Rattus norvegicus: one gene and its partners. The protein of the gene in region 3 binds, or shares a complex with, the protein of the main gene of each other region. Links are inferred from orthologs where the notes say so. Each region holds a gene or a part of one and is shown on either strand. Other genes may lie near its edges.

Evidence for each region.
Region 1: the proteins of Itsn1 (region 3) and Ap2a2 are in contact, whole or in part, in a crystal structure (PDB 3HS8), measured with the Mus musculus proteins. The link is inferred for Rattus norvegicus from reciprocal best matches to the Homo sapiens genes ITSN1 and AP2A2. Residues at the interface, in NP_034717.2 of Mus musculus: Asn841, Trp843, Ala844, Phe846, Ser847, Ser848; in XP_006536218.1 of Mus musculus: Glu308, Gly320, Val321, Glu324, Gln329, Gly331, Leu332, Lys333, Phe346, Gly348, Asn349, Lys350, Gly386, Ala387, Gln388.
Region 2: the proteins of Itsn1 (region 3) and Fchsd2 are in contact, whole or in part, in a crystal structure (PDB 6GBU), measured with the Homo sapiens proteins. The link is inferred for Rattus norvegicus from reciprocal best matches to the Homo sapiens genes ITSN1 and FCHSD2. Residues at the interface, in NP_003015.2 of Homo sapiens: Pro1076, Ile1078, Gly1098, Leu1100, Leu1102, Gln1117, Ala1118, Arg1119, Gly1120, Lys1121, Lys1122, Arg1123, Leu1136, Ser1137, Pro1138; in NP_055639.2 of Homo sapiens: Tyr576, Gln581, Thr582, Asp584, Glu585, Gln602, Asp603, Asp604, Asp605, Gly606, Phe607, Val618, Pro620, Val622, Leu623.

What each region holds. Positions count from the first base shown.
Region 1 is NC_086019.1:206,137,377-206,141,021, reverse strand, and holds part of Ap2a2 (AP-2 complex subunit alpha-2), read right to left. Parts: intron 2,841-3,645; coding exon 2,703-2,840; intron 1-2,702. UniProt on the Homo sapiens protein: Component of the adaptor protein complex 2 (AP-2). Adaptor protein complexes function in protein transport via transport vesicles in different membrane traffic pathways.
Region 2 is NC_086019.1:165,052,288-165,055,932, reverse strand, and holds part of Fchsd2 (F-BAR and double SH3 domains protein 2), read right to left. Parts: intron 3,095-3,645; coding exon 2,978-3,094; intron 844-2,977; coding exon 739-843; intron 1-738. UniProt on the Homo sapiens protein: Adapter protein that plays a role in endocytosis via clathrin-coated pits. Contributes to the internalization of cell surface receptors, such as integrin ITGB1 and transferrin receptor.
Region 3 is NC_086029.1:44,463,291-44,467,486, forward strand, and holds the start of Itsn1 (intersectin-1), read left to right. Parts: upstream 1-1,256; 5' UTR 1,257-1,489; intron 1,490-2,143; exon of another isoform or gene 2,144-2,401; intron 2,402-4,196. UniProt on the Homo sapiens protein: Adapter protein that provides a link between the endocytic membrane traffic and the actin assembly machinery. Acts as a guanine nucleotide exchange factor (GEF) for CDC42, and thereby stimulates actin nucleation mediated by WASL and the ARP2/3 complex.

The DNA.
Region 1 (3,645 bases), on a different chromosome or scaffold from region 3:
AAAGGACCAGGGAGAGGCAGGGGTCCACGGAAAGGAAAGAGTATAGTGTTTGAAGAGATACAGAGGACAATGAAGTAGGGCTAATTAAACAGGACAGGGGTGGAAGGAAGGGTACAGGAAGAAATAGGGGGAGGGACAACTAACACTAAAGGGCATTTGAGAAAGCATACTGAAATATAACTGTAGACACTTGTGAAAATACAACATATAAAAGGAATCTAAATGAAGTCCCCAAGTAACAGAGGAGACAGTACTCCAACTAGACATCCTGTGCCATCAAGTGCCAGAAATGGGTTACATCCTGTTGAGCCGTTGGCCAAAGGGAAGCCCCCAAATATCTACTGGTTGCTCTCTACAACTGACGGTAAGGCCCTACTGCTGAAGACAACGTCCACACATCTCCTCCAACACAGAGAAGTCGAGCTGATACCTAACTAGAAGCTTCAGTCCTGCTGACTCAAGAGGGCACTGCAGGAGAGAAAAGATGGTGAGAGCCAGAGGATCCGGAGTTTGTCTCCCAGGAATGTCAGAAGCTGCCCCATCACATCTCACCAAGACCACCCAAATGTGAGCTGAACAAGGCTGGCACTAAAGACATAACAAACAGGACAAGAAAAGCCCGCAAGGTCTCAACCCTACACAAAGAACTATAGGCAACTGAGGAAAACTGGAAATGGGGGAGGCAACCTCCCCAGGAGGAGCTGGGAGTGGGAGAGGCAGTCCTCCCCAGGAGGAGCTGGGAGTGGGAGAGGCAGTCCTCCCCGGGAGGAGCTGGGAGTGGGAGAGGCAGTCCTCCCCGGGAGGAGCTGGGAGTGGGAGAGGCAGTCCTCCCCGGGAGGAGCTGGGAGTGGGAGAGGCAGTCCTCCCCAGGAGGAGCTGGGAGTGGGAGAGGCAGTCCTCCCCAGGAGGAGCACACCAATCTGCTGTTCAGTGCAGAAGGGGCAGCCCTGAAAACATACAAGCAACATGATATGGACTTAACAGGATTTATTTAGAAAGGTTATGGATCTATATACACATATAAATGCATTAGCAATTAATAAAAAAAAGAGGCGGTTAATTTGAAGAATGGGGAGGGGTATGTGGGCAGGCTGAGGAGGAAAGGAAAAAATGTAATTATAAACTCAAAAATAAAAGATAAAAAAGGTGGAAAAAAACAAAACATACTTGGATAAGTAGGGAGGTGGGAAGGGTCTGGGAGGAACAGGAGTGGGAGAAAACATGAACAAATTCTATCATGTGGGGGAAAAAGTTGATTTCAATAGAAAAGAAAAAGGGTTAGAGGGCAAACCAACACACTGCACTGACAGATGCCACTGCCACCTCTGCTGAAAACACCAAGAGCAATCCAGTGAGGGTGAGCCTGGCCAAAGCTACAAGCCACATGTCCAGCCACATCTCAAACAAGGCCAACCCTTCCCCACACACAATGCCCCTGTGCCCACACTGCCTGCCTCAGCCAAACCTTGACTTTTCTAATGTTCCAAGTGTTAGAAGCGTGAATTCCAGAGCAGCGCAGTAGGTGGAGGTGACTTTGAAGGAGGGGATCAGTGGAGAGCCTGCTGTCACTGGAAAGGAGACCCTGAAGGGGGCTGTGGACTGTGGTCTCACTTGGACTCTGCCTCCTGGACACAGGGTGAGCAGTCTGCTTCACCATTTGTTCCCTGCTATTGTCACATGCAATGTATCTGGCCACACAGGCACAATCTTGAGTCAGAAACTCTAAAACTGTAATCTTTTAAAATCATCTCAAGGAGAACAGCAAGATGGTTCAGCAGGGGACAATGTTTGCTGCCTCGTCTGATGACCTTAGTCCCCGGAACCCATGTAGGAGGAAAAATAAGTCCACACACATGCCAGAAGCCATACACTGCACACAAATATAGACTAGAACAACAAAACAAAAAACTCCAGGATTTCGTTAGGTAGCCAGGGCCCCGCACTCAGCACCTGCTATGAGTGAGGCAGCAGCTTTCAATCCCATGTGGCCCCTCCTTCTAGCCCTAGTCAATAGCTCAGCTAGTTACCACCTCCAAGAAGCCTTCCTGACCTCTAATTATCTCAGGCCTTTCCTGGAGCAAGACATGGTCATGAAACAACTCAATGTGTGCGCCTAGCCCTTAGCCCTTCCCCATCAGACCCTTGCTGCAGGGCCTGTGAAGCAATCCAGCCAGTGCCACACTGCCTGTCACTCTAGGTCCAGAGACACCATCGAGAGACCAGTGTTATACCAGGTGAGGCAAGCCAGAGCCTCTCGTCTGTGGTCATGCACTTGCCTCCTTCCTCCCTAAGACACAGTGGTTTCATGTAAGCAATTTGCTGGACTACAACAATGGTTAGGTGTGCATGACACTCAGACTGACCAGAGTCCGCTCGAAACCAACACTGCTCAGTGCTGATGACAGCTTAAACATTAACCTCTAATATGCCAGATGACACCAAGAAAACCTAACCAGCAGCATCTTCATGTTCAAAATATAAGAGTATCTTGGAGAATGAATATTAGCTCATTGCCTGGCACAGATGGCCACACCCTGCACTGCCAGATGTCTACACTGGAAGGCTAGACAAGAAAGCTGATGCCACGGAATCTTTTATCTAGTGTCTACAGACACTCATGCAAGCCTGCCAGGCACTGAAAACCACCCAGCAACCACCCACCAGAATGCAGCTTTAACAGCCCCTCAGGTTATAGGACTCACAATTTCCTCCCGGATGGAGTAGTCAGCTGTTTCTAGGTAGCTCAGCATCTCAGCCACAATCTGCTGGGCGTTGCTTCGGTCGCACATGGCGTAGAGCAGGTCCACTGCCCGCTGCCGCACACTCACATCTCGTTCCGTCTGAGAAAAAAGACAGTCAGGACTCCTACGAAGCACAGGTCGGTGGACAGTGGCTAACCACTGCTATATGCGTCCATGAGTCTAGCATCTGTTTGTTCCATAGGAGCTGTGTTGGGGAACCCCACAGCACTGTCCCCATCAGGCAGGGTGCTGCTCTATCCCCAGACCCCTTACTGGGCCCCCTCACTATCTATATATGGGACCCAACAGCTTAGGCCACTTGGAACCCACACACAACACATTGTCCTGTCCCCTCATGCTTTAGTCCAATCAGAGCAAACCAGTTCTAGCTCTGTTTGTCCACTCTCCCTCCTCCCTAACCAGCTCTTCTGAGGACCACACTCAGGCCTAATGAACAGGTCACTAAGGCCTCCATTGTGTGGGCACAGGCCAGCACCTTCCGAGTTGCCTGGGAGCTGGTTCTAAGGCAGGTTCTTGAGCCCCTCTCCAGGAGGCATAGGAGAGACACCACACACAGTGCTTGAGAAGCATGGAGCCGCTATCTGCAGCCCCTACAGTGGTGAACACTGCAGGGCCCCAGTGCAGGACAGAGGGCACCTGACATAGGTGTGCTTAAGATGAGAGGTTTAGGATAAGAGTTGTGATGGAAGAGAGCAACTGGAGCAGACACCCAACCAGGACTAGGAAGAACACAGCCTCCTTCAAGAAAGACACCAAAATGCCTGTTGATTTACACAAAAATACAGACCAGGGCCAGACCTGCTTCACTACAGCCTAAAACTCACCAAATGAAGGGTCTTACAAGTATGGTTCACTAATGAACTAACGTGTAACATGTAAGCTA
Region 2 (3,645 bases), on a different chromosome or scaffold from region 3:
ATTTGGGTGCAGAGAACTGTTTATCCGGTCTGTTCCTTCAGATTCCGGCGGTGTCTCAGGCGCAGGGGTCCTGCCGCTCCTGGGCCCTCCCCCACGGGAACCCAGAGGCCTTATACAGTTTCCTCTTGGGCCAGGGATGTGGGCAGGGGTGGGCAGTGTTGGTGGTCTCTTCCGCTCTGCAGCCTCAGGAGTGCCCACCTGACCAGGCGGTGAGGTCTCTCTCCCACGGGGTCTGGGAGCAGAGAGCTGCTGCGGGCCGGGATCCGCAGGTGTGGGACTCCCGGTAAACACAGGGAGTGCCCGGTCCTAGAGGAATTCTGCCTCTGTGTGTCCCGAGTTCACCAGGCAGGTCACTTGCAGCAGAAAAGTTGGTCTTACCTGTGGTCCCAAGGCTCAAGTTTGCTCTCGGGGTGCTGCCCACAAGCTCTCTGCGGCGGCAGCAACCAGGAAGCTGATTGACTTATTTAATGCTATGTGAAAACTTTAAAATCAACGTAAGCATTGTGGCCTCGCTTTTGCTCTTTAATGTTTCACGACTGTGGATCTTTGCAGTGGTTTCAGAGTTTTTGTTCTAAGTGCTACAGGTACACAGAAATACGACTGTGGACATGAAGATGGCTCATTGTTTTCAGTTTAATACCCATGTAGAAGCTCATTTCAAAGGCTCATTTCACAACTGTAACACTGTGCCTGGAACTGAGTGACACACTACAGTTGACGGCTGTCCTGCTGTCTTACCTCAGCTTTACGGATATTTTCTCTAGCTTCATCTATTTTCTGTTCCAGCTCTGCTCGGCTCTGTTCTGATACAGCAACTCCATGGCATTCTAGTTCATTTAGAACCTATCAAAGAAAATAAAGATTTTTGTTTTCATGTTCTTTCCTTGAGTATTTACATAATTCCAGAGGGTTCAGTGGCTAAAGCAATAATTACTTTAAAATTTTTTATTTCATTAATTTTTAAAAATTGAGAGTTGCAAAACAAGGAAGAGTCCTTGTCTTAGCCTTCCCTGATGATAACGACTTATAAAAGCATGCGGTAACAGCACCCTCCTCTGGAGGTGCAGCTCAAGGTCTCCAGTGGATCCTCTGAACCATAGCAGAACAGAGCCTTAAGTTTACTGTGGTTTCTTGTGTCCTGCCGTACTGCACACGGCACCAGGGTTGACCTGCCTTTCCATGGCTCATAAGCTGGTGCCTCCCCAGTTCTGGTTTTGCACGATAAGGCCACAATTAAGTGAAAGTTGGGATTCCGTGAACACTAGCTCTGTGATGCTGTGATGCTCATCTGATAACAGAGATGGCAGTGACGAAACCCACAGGACAGTAAGGTTGACAGTGAGGACACGCTGGGTAAAGTAGTCCACAACTCCAGGTGGACTTCATTGTGCTACAGAATTGTGGGCATTTAAACACTCACTGTTTGCTTATCCATTTTCCATGTAATATTTTGGACCTAAGGCTAACAGGAGATGGAGAGTAAAAAGAAAGTCAAGAAATTGATAATACAATCTATATTCCTTATTTTCATCACATAATTGTGACATGGATAGCTTGAATTTTAAAAATGGATAGATGTTGAGTTTTTTTGTTTTTTTTTTTTTTAAACAGGATGTTATGAAGTGTAGGCTATTTTCGAAACAGATCTCATTCTTTTTAAAGCATACACCCAACAGTTCAACAACATTGCACTTATACTACTGCTTCTGGGACTTTTAAAATTCTTTTTTTTTTTTCTTTTTTCTTTTTTTCGGAGCTGGGGACCGAACCCAGGGCCTTGCGCTTGCTAGGCAAGCGCTCTACCACTGAGCTAAATCCCCAACCCCTTAAACTTCTTTTAAAACAGCAAATGGCACTACACAAAGAACTTGTCTAATGACTCTTTGAAAACACAAATGTGTGCAGAGATAATCTCTTGTGCACTGTGTAAAAGCATTCATCTGTCAGTAAAAAGCTGATTGACCAATGAACTGAGGCAGGATTAGAAGGTGAGACATCGAGCAGAGAAAGAGAGGAATTCTGGGATTGAGTCAGGCAGGGAGATGGACACAGAGGAAGGTGGTTGCATGAAACAGGACCAGGTTACCAGCCACGTGGCGGGACTCAGAATAATAATAATTAAGTTATGAGCTAGTAGCAGAACAGGCCAAAACTTACGGTCTAAGCATTTATTTATAAATACAATTAAGTCTCAGAGTTGTTGTTTTGGGGAACTTATGTGCGGGTGGGAAAGCCCTCGGCTACTAAAGAGATACTTGTACATATTGCTTGTTCACTGGTTTGCTGTATTGGTGATCAAGTCAACTGCCTTGCACAAGTAAGCAGGAGTTCTCTTAGGAAGCTGGACTTCTATATTTTAATATGAGTAGACATGGCCAAATATATATATTCTACATTTTAATGCAAAATTTTGAAAATGATTGAATTTTTATGGCTTTACAGAAAGCATAGTTTCATGTGCTACTGTCCACCTGTATTTCTGTGATATCAGGCACACACACATGGTGCACATGCAAACACAAATAAAAATAAAATTCAACTCTTTGACTCTATTTGAAATCTCATAGAAGGCTTCTGTGACAACCTCTCTCTCCCACCTTCATCCTTCAACCCTCCAAAAAGAAACGGTGTAGACAAGAAGTCATTGAAGAGAAGTGTTAAAAACTGAGAGCTTTTTAAGAGCTGAAGTACAGCTCTTCACAGTTGATGGCTTCTGGTGTGGTGGGGGTGGACGGCTGACCACTAGGAGTATGATTATTCTCTGTTGAATATATGGGTAATGCAAATTAGACTTGGTATTTTCTTTTTTCATTCTTCTTTTCTTTGGAGGAGGTGGACCTGAGAAGACTGAGAAGTGAATGTGATCAGGGTACATTAGGTGAAGCTCCCAAATAAACAGTAAGAAGATTGGGTTGGAAGAAACCTATCTGCAATCTGACTTCAGCTGCACACAGCCAGTGAGTGCTATCATACTTACCCGCTGCTGATGAACAATATTTTTGTGCTCACGTGCCACACGAGTGGCCCATTTTCGAGCCTCCTTATTTAGACTGTGTTCTTCTGTGGTACCAGTTTCTGATTCTAATTGTCGACTCTACAACACAAGAGAGAACAGAAAGAGAAGGACTGTTATCTCCACTGTAACTTTTTCCACTCTGTAGCTGGACCAGAGGGTCTTTCCTTAATCAGCACTGACAATGCAAGGCATGTCCTACTACTGTGGGAAGCAAGGCCTCACTTCACAGAAAATCAGTATGAGATAGCTACACAGAGATTAGTAGCCTTGGAGGCCACTGAGGATGAACCAATCCCTTATGGTCAGCTTTGGGCCCCACCTTCTTTTTCTTTGGTAATGCTGGAAAGGTATCAATTTTGCTACTCTTTATCAGTGAAGAACTTATCAGGAAGTTCTTAACCTTCCTAATGCAATTCCTCAAGTTGTGGTGACCCCCAACCATAAAATTATTTTCACTGCTACTTCATAACTGTGATTTTTGCTACTGTTATGAATCGTAATGTAAGTATTTGTTTTCTGATAGTCTTAGGCAACCCCTGTGAAAAGATCATTCAAGCCCCCAGAGAGTAGACACAACACATAGGTTGAGAACCACTGTAAAGTTTCCTTGTCAAAAGAATGGAATATCT
Region 3 (4,196 bases):
TATGGACTACTGGATGAAGCAGGCAATTCCTGACCCAAGGCCCCATTACTGTGAACACCCGTCCTTGCTTGCTTTAGGAAACCGCTTATTGGAAATGCCAAGAAAAGGGTAAGAAGGGTGACAAGGGAAGTAGTAACGGAGACAGCATCAGAAACAGTGGTAGGGAGAAGCTGGGGTGGGGAGGACTCAACTGAGAGAAAGGCAATTCTAGACCTTTGTCTACATAAACGCGGAGGATGAAGCAAAGACCCACAATCCAAACCTAGCCAGTGTCAGGAACTGTCCGTCAAATCTAGTATTACCCGCCCCTCAGCGGCCTCAGCCAAGCTAGGCCAGAGCAGGAGCAGCTCTGAGGTCGGCGTGTGATGCGAAGCACCAATCTCCCCAAGGTTAGACAACTCCTTCAGACGTTTCTCCATCTTTTGCCCAAAGTCCCATTTCACGAGACACATATCGTTCTTCCCTGGCTCACCTGGCTTGGAGCAACCTCAACCGCCAGCGCCTTCGCCGCCGCCACCTTCCCAGTCCTTCTGCAGAGAGCCCGCCTTCGTAGGTCCAAACAGTACTGCCATTGGTCGGACTGCCCGTCACTACCGCAGGATGACCGATCTGGGGGAGGCTGTGACGAGCGCCATAGCAACCGAACCCGGAACTACAATTCCCAGCATGCTCCTCCCTGTAGAGAGGCGAGTCATCCCAGGGACCACCAATACTTGGGAGAAGTTGGGCGTTGCCGAGATGGGTTCCGTTTTATGCAAATTAGAGTAAAAGGCCACACCCTTCCTCATTCCAACCGTACTCCCTACCATCTTTCTTCAGTCTTTGTCTCTGTCGCCTCTCGTTCCCACGTTCTTTCTGCAAAACCTTCAATTTAGTTAAATGTATGCTAGCTACTGTCGCGCATAGAAAAGAGCAAAGCGCCAAATCATGAAACAAAAATCTCCGTACGCATAGACCAGAAACCTCTAGTTATGCCTTCATGGGACGAGACAAGGACTGGGAGGAAAAAGGGTGCTTCCCGAACCACTTAATTGGTTTATCTCGCTGCCACTCTGTACACCTCCAATTCCTGTGGCTAGTCCTTTTTTCCCCAGTGGGCGGAGTCATGCGAACGAATGAGAAGGCGTGGTCTCGGCCGTCCGATTGGCAGGCGGTTATTCCCGCCCATCTATGGGTGGAGCGGAGGGCTGGCTGTGGGCGGAGGGGCGGCGGCGGAGGGAGATGAGGAGATAGGCGGGAGCGAGGGAGCGAAGGAGCGGAGGGCGAGAGGAGTGGAGCGGCACAGGGAGGGCGCGCAGCTTGGTTGCTCCGTAGTACGGAGGCTCGCGAGGGAGCATCCCGAGCGGGCTCCGGGACGGCCGAGAGGCAGGCGGGCGAGCGGGCGGGCGGGGATGGTGTGCGCGGCTGCGGACCCTGCGTTCCTCCGCGCGGCGTGCGGGCTGCACTGATTTGTGTGAGGGGCGGCCGCGCGCACCCGCCCGGAGATGAGGTGAGGAGCTGACGCGGGCGGCCTGGCGCGCGGGCGGGGGTCGGCGATGGCCGCCCGGGGTCGGGTCCAGCGGCCGGGCGCGCGTCCCCGCGGCCGCCGTCGCCGCTCTGCCTGGTCTTTCTCATCCTCCCGGGGGCGGCGGGGCGGGCGGGCCGCGGCGGTGGCGGCCGCGGGACGGGCTCCGGTGAATGGGCGTCCGCAGCCACTGCCGGCGCTCCCGAGGGGGCATCGCGGCGGGCGGTCCCTTCCACCGCTGACCCCTCTGCCCTCGGCCGCCGGAGGGTGGGGGGCCGGCCCGGCCTCCCGGGGATCCCGAGCTCGCGGGAGACGCATCGCGCCGCCCGCGGGTGCCCCCGGCCTCGAGTCCCCGGCTCATCCTTTTTCTCCGGCGCCTCCTTGGAATACCCTGTCAAGTGAAGGGCGGTCAATGCCGTTCGGGCCGAAGTGGTGCGGCCGGGGCTGGCTCTGATGGCATTTAACAGAAAGCGGCTCCCCTTGCAGCGGGCGCGCGTCCCCTGGTCGGCCGCTTCGCCCTCCGTGCGCACGCACTGACTTGGGTGTCTGCTATGGACCCAGGGCACAGTTGCGGTCCCTCTTGGGGGCGGGGGCGGGGGGGGGGGACCAGGAAATGCAATCCGGATTCCCAGAAAAAAGAAAAGAAAAGCAAGGATGAGCTGGCTGGACCTCCCTTCACTTCTGTTTCCCTTTGGTTTGGAGGACAACTTCGCTGATCCTCTTGCCTATGAGCAATCTATTGTTGTGAATCAGACTACAGACATTGCTTTTGAAGGAATAGATTAGTGGCTTCTTGCTGCAGTTTGAGGGTGTAGAGGTATTCGGTAGCATCTTGAATGTGAAAGTTTGCGGCTTTGCCCTCACCGCTGCTATTCGGAAAACAACCAACCTGGAAATGTAAGTGCATGCAGACTCTGGCCAGATACGGTTCTTTTGTGCTTATCTGTTGGTATATTTCATTTGGTACTTCGTGGTCAGAAACATAGAGCATAAAGAAAGAGTCTGATAGCATAGATAGTGAAAGCATAGGAATACATGCCTGTGGAAAATATCAGTTCTATTTTCAGGGAGGCCGGTTTACTAATCCCGATGAATTGATGAAGAGAAAGGCTTGCTCATGGATTATGTGGTGGACAGGATGTGAGGGCAGGAGCTAGGGCCAGGAGCCCACAGGCCAGCTGCTTGGCAGGGCATTTCTTTAAATGCTCTTAACTGGAGGGATGTATCTGTTTGTTGGGATAAAACTTTTATTTTTAGAAGACGTTTACAGTGAAAAGTGCAGACAGTTCAACAACCATTATGGTTACCATTTTTGCTACTTAACTTTTTTTTAAAACTAGTTTGATTGAAATGTTTTGTATGTGTGTGTGAGTTTCCTTATGACCTAAGAACTTATAAGAAAGCAGCATCTCTCTGTAGGAGACATGTAAAGAAGTCAGGAAACTATAAAGGATTTAAATGAAGAAGTGAAGGACACTGATTTGGTGACAGGGCATAGATACTCCATACACTTCTATGTGTAAGGAGCCACAGTAAGGAGCCTTTTTGAGAGTACATGTTTAAAAAAGTGGTATTTATTTTTTAAAAAAGTGTCTGTTATTGAAATTGCTGAGGATCGCGGTACTGCCACAAAACTATTATTATTCTGCCTGAGTAAGAGAGGAACTGAGCACATTTCTAATGTACTTTGGAACCCTGTGAATTGTTCAGATGCTGAGCATTGTGAAATAGGGCATGAAATGAGTGGTGGCAAGTTAGTTCCCTGAAATGTTTGTCCCTCAGCATTTTCTGTCTTTCTTTTGCTGGTGACTAGCTGTTTCCTTTTCCTGTGGGCATTCTTTATCTTTCCCCAAATACCTAGATTGAGACACACCCTTAAAACACTTGGAAGAGATTAAAAGGGAGGCCCTAGTAAATTCCTCTGCCAGTGCCTTTTCTCTTTTGGTGTTTGAACCAGGACTTGGAGAGTGCTAAGTGTGTGGCCCTAGCACCTAGCTACAACCCCAGCCTCACACTGGTCTTTGTGTGTGGTGCTGTCGTTTGAACCTGGAGACTGTGAGGCTAGGCAGATGCTACAGTCTCCTCCTTTTAATTTGCTAAACTTGTGACTACCGGCTGGGTTTATGTCAGACTTCTCTTGAGTGACTCCCTCCTGAATGACTCCACTTGCTGGCTCCATCCGAGTCTGGCATTCAGATATCTTTACATCAGCTTAACAGGTCTCTGCCTCTCCACCTCAGAGTCAGACAGTGGGAAGTATATTTTCAGTACCGTTTCCAGGAAATTCTCCAGGCCGGCAGATTCAGAGAACCTTGGCGGCGTGCTTCTTTCTTACTGAGTGTCTCCAAAGTGGATGATAGCAAGCTTGTCAAGTGGCAGGAGTTTTACATGTTGTGATAAATGTTTCAGAAGAGCAGAGTTGACTGTGGTCTTCCTAGAGACTGAACCAGTGCCCCTTGGATAGTTGCAGAATGAATGGGTGAACCACTTTGCAGCGATCCTGGTGTTTTAAGTCTTCACCTGCCAAGTTAGTCACATCACCAAGTAGTCATAAGCGCTGTGTCCTAGTTGGTTCCTCTAAGCTTGACCAGTCTTGAATGTACAGTCTTGCTGGATGGCATGCTGGAAGGAGGTCTAGCAAATGTTGCTTTAAGGACTCAAAATTTAATGTAGCGTCTAATCATTTCACCTA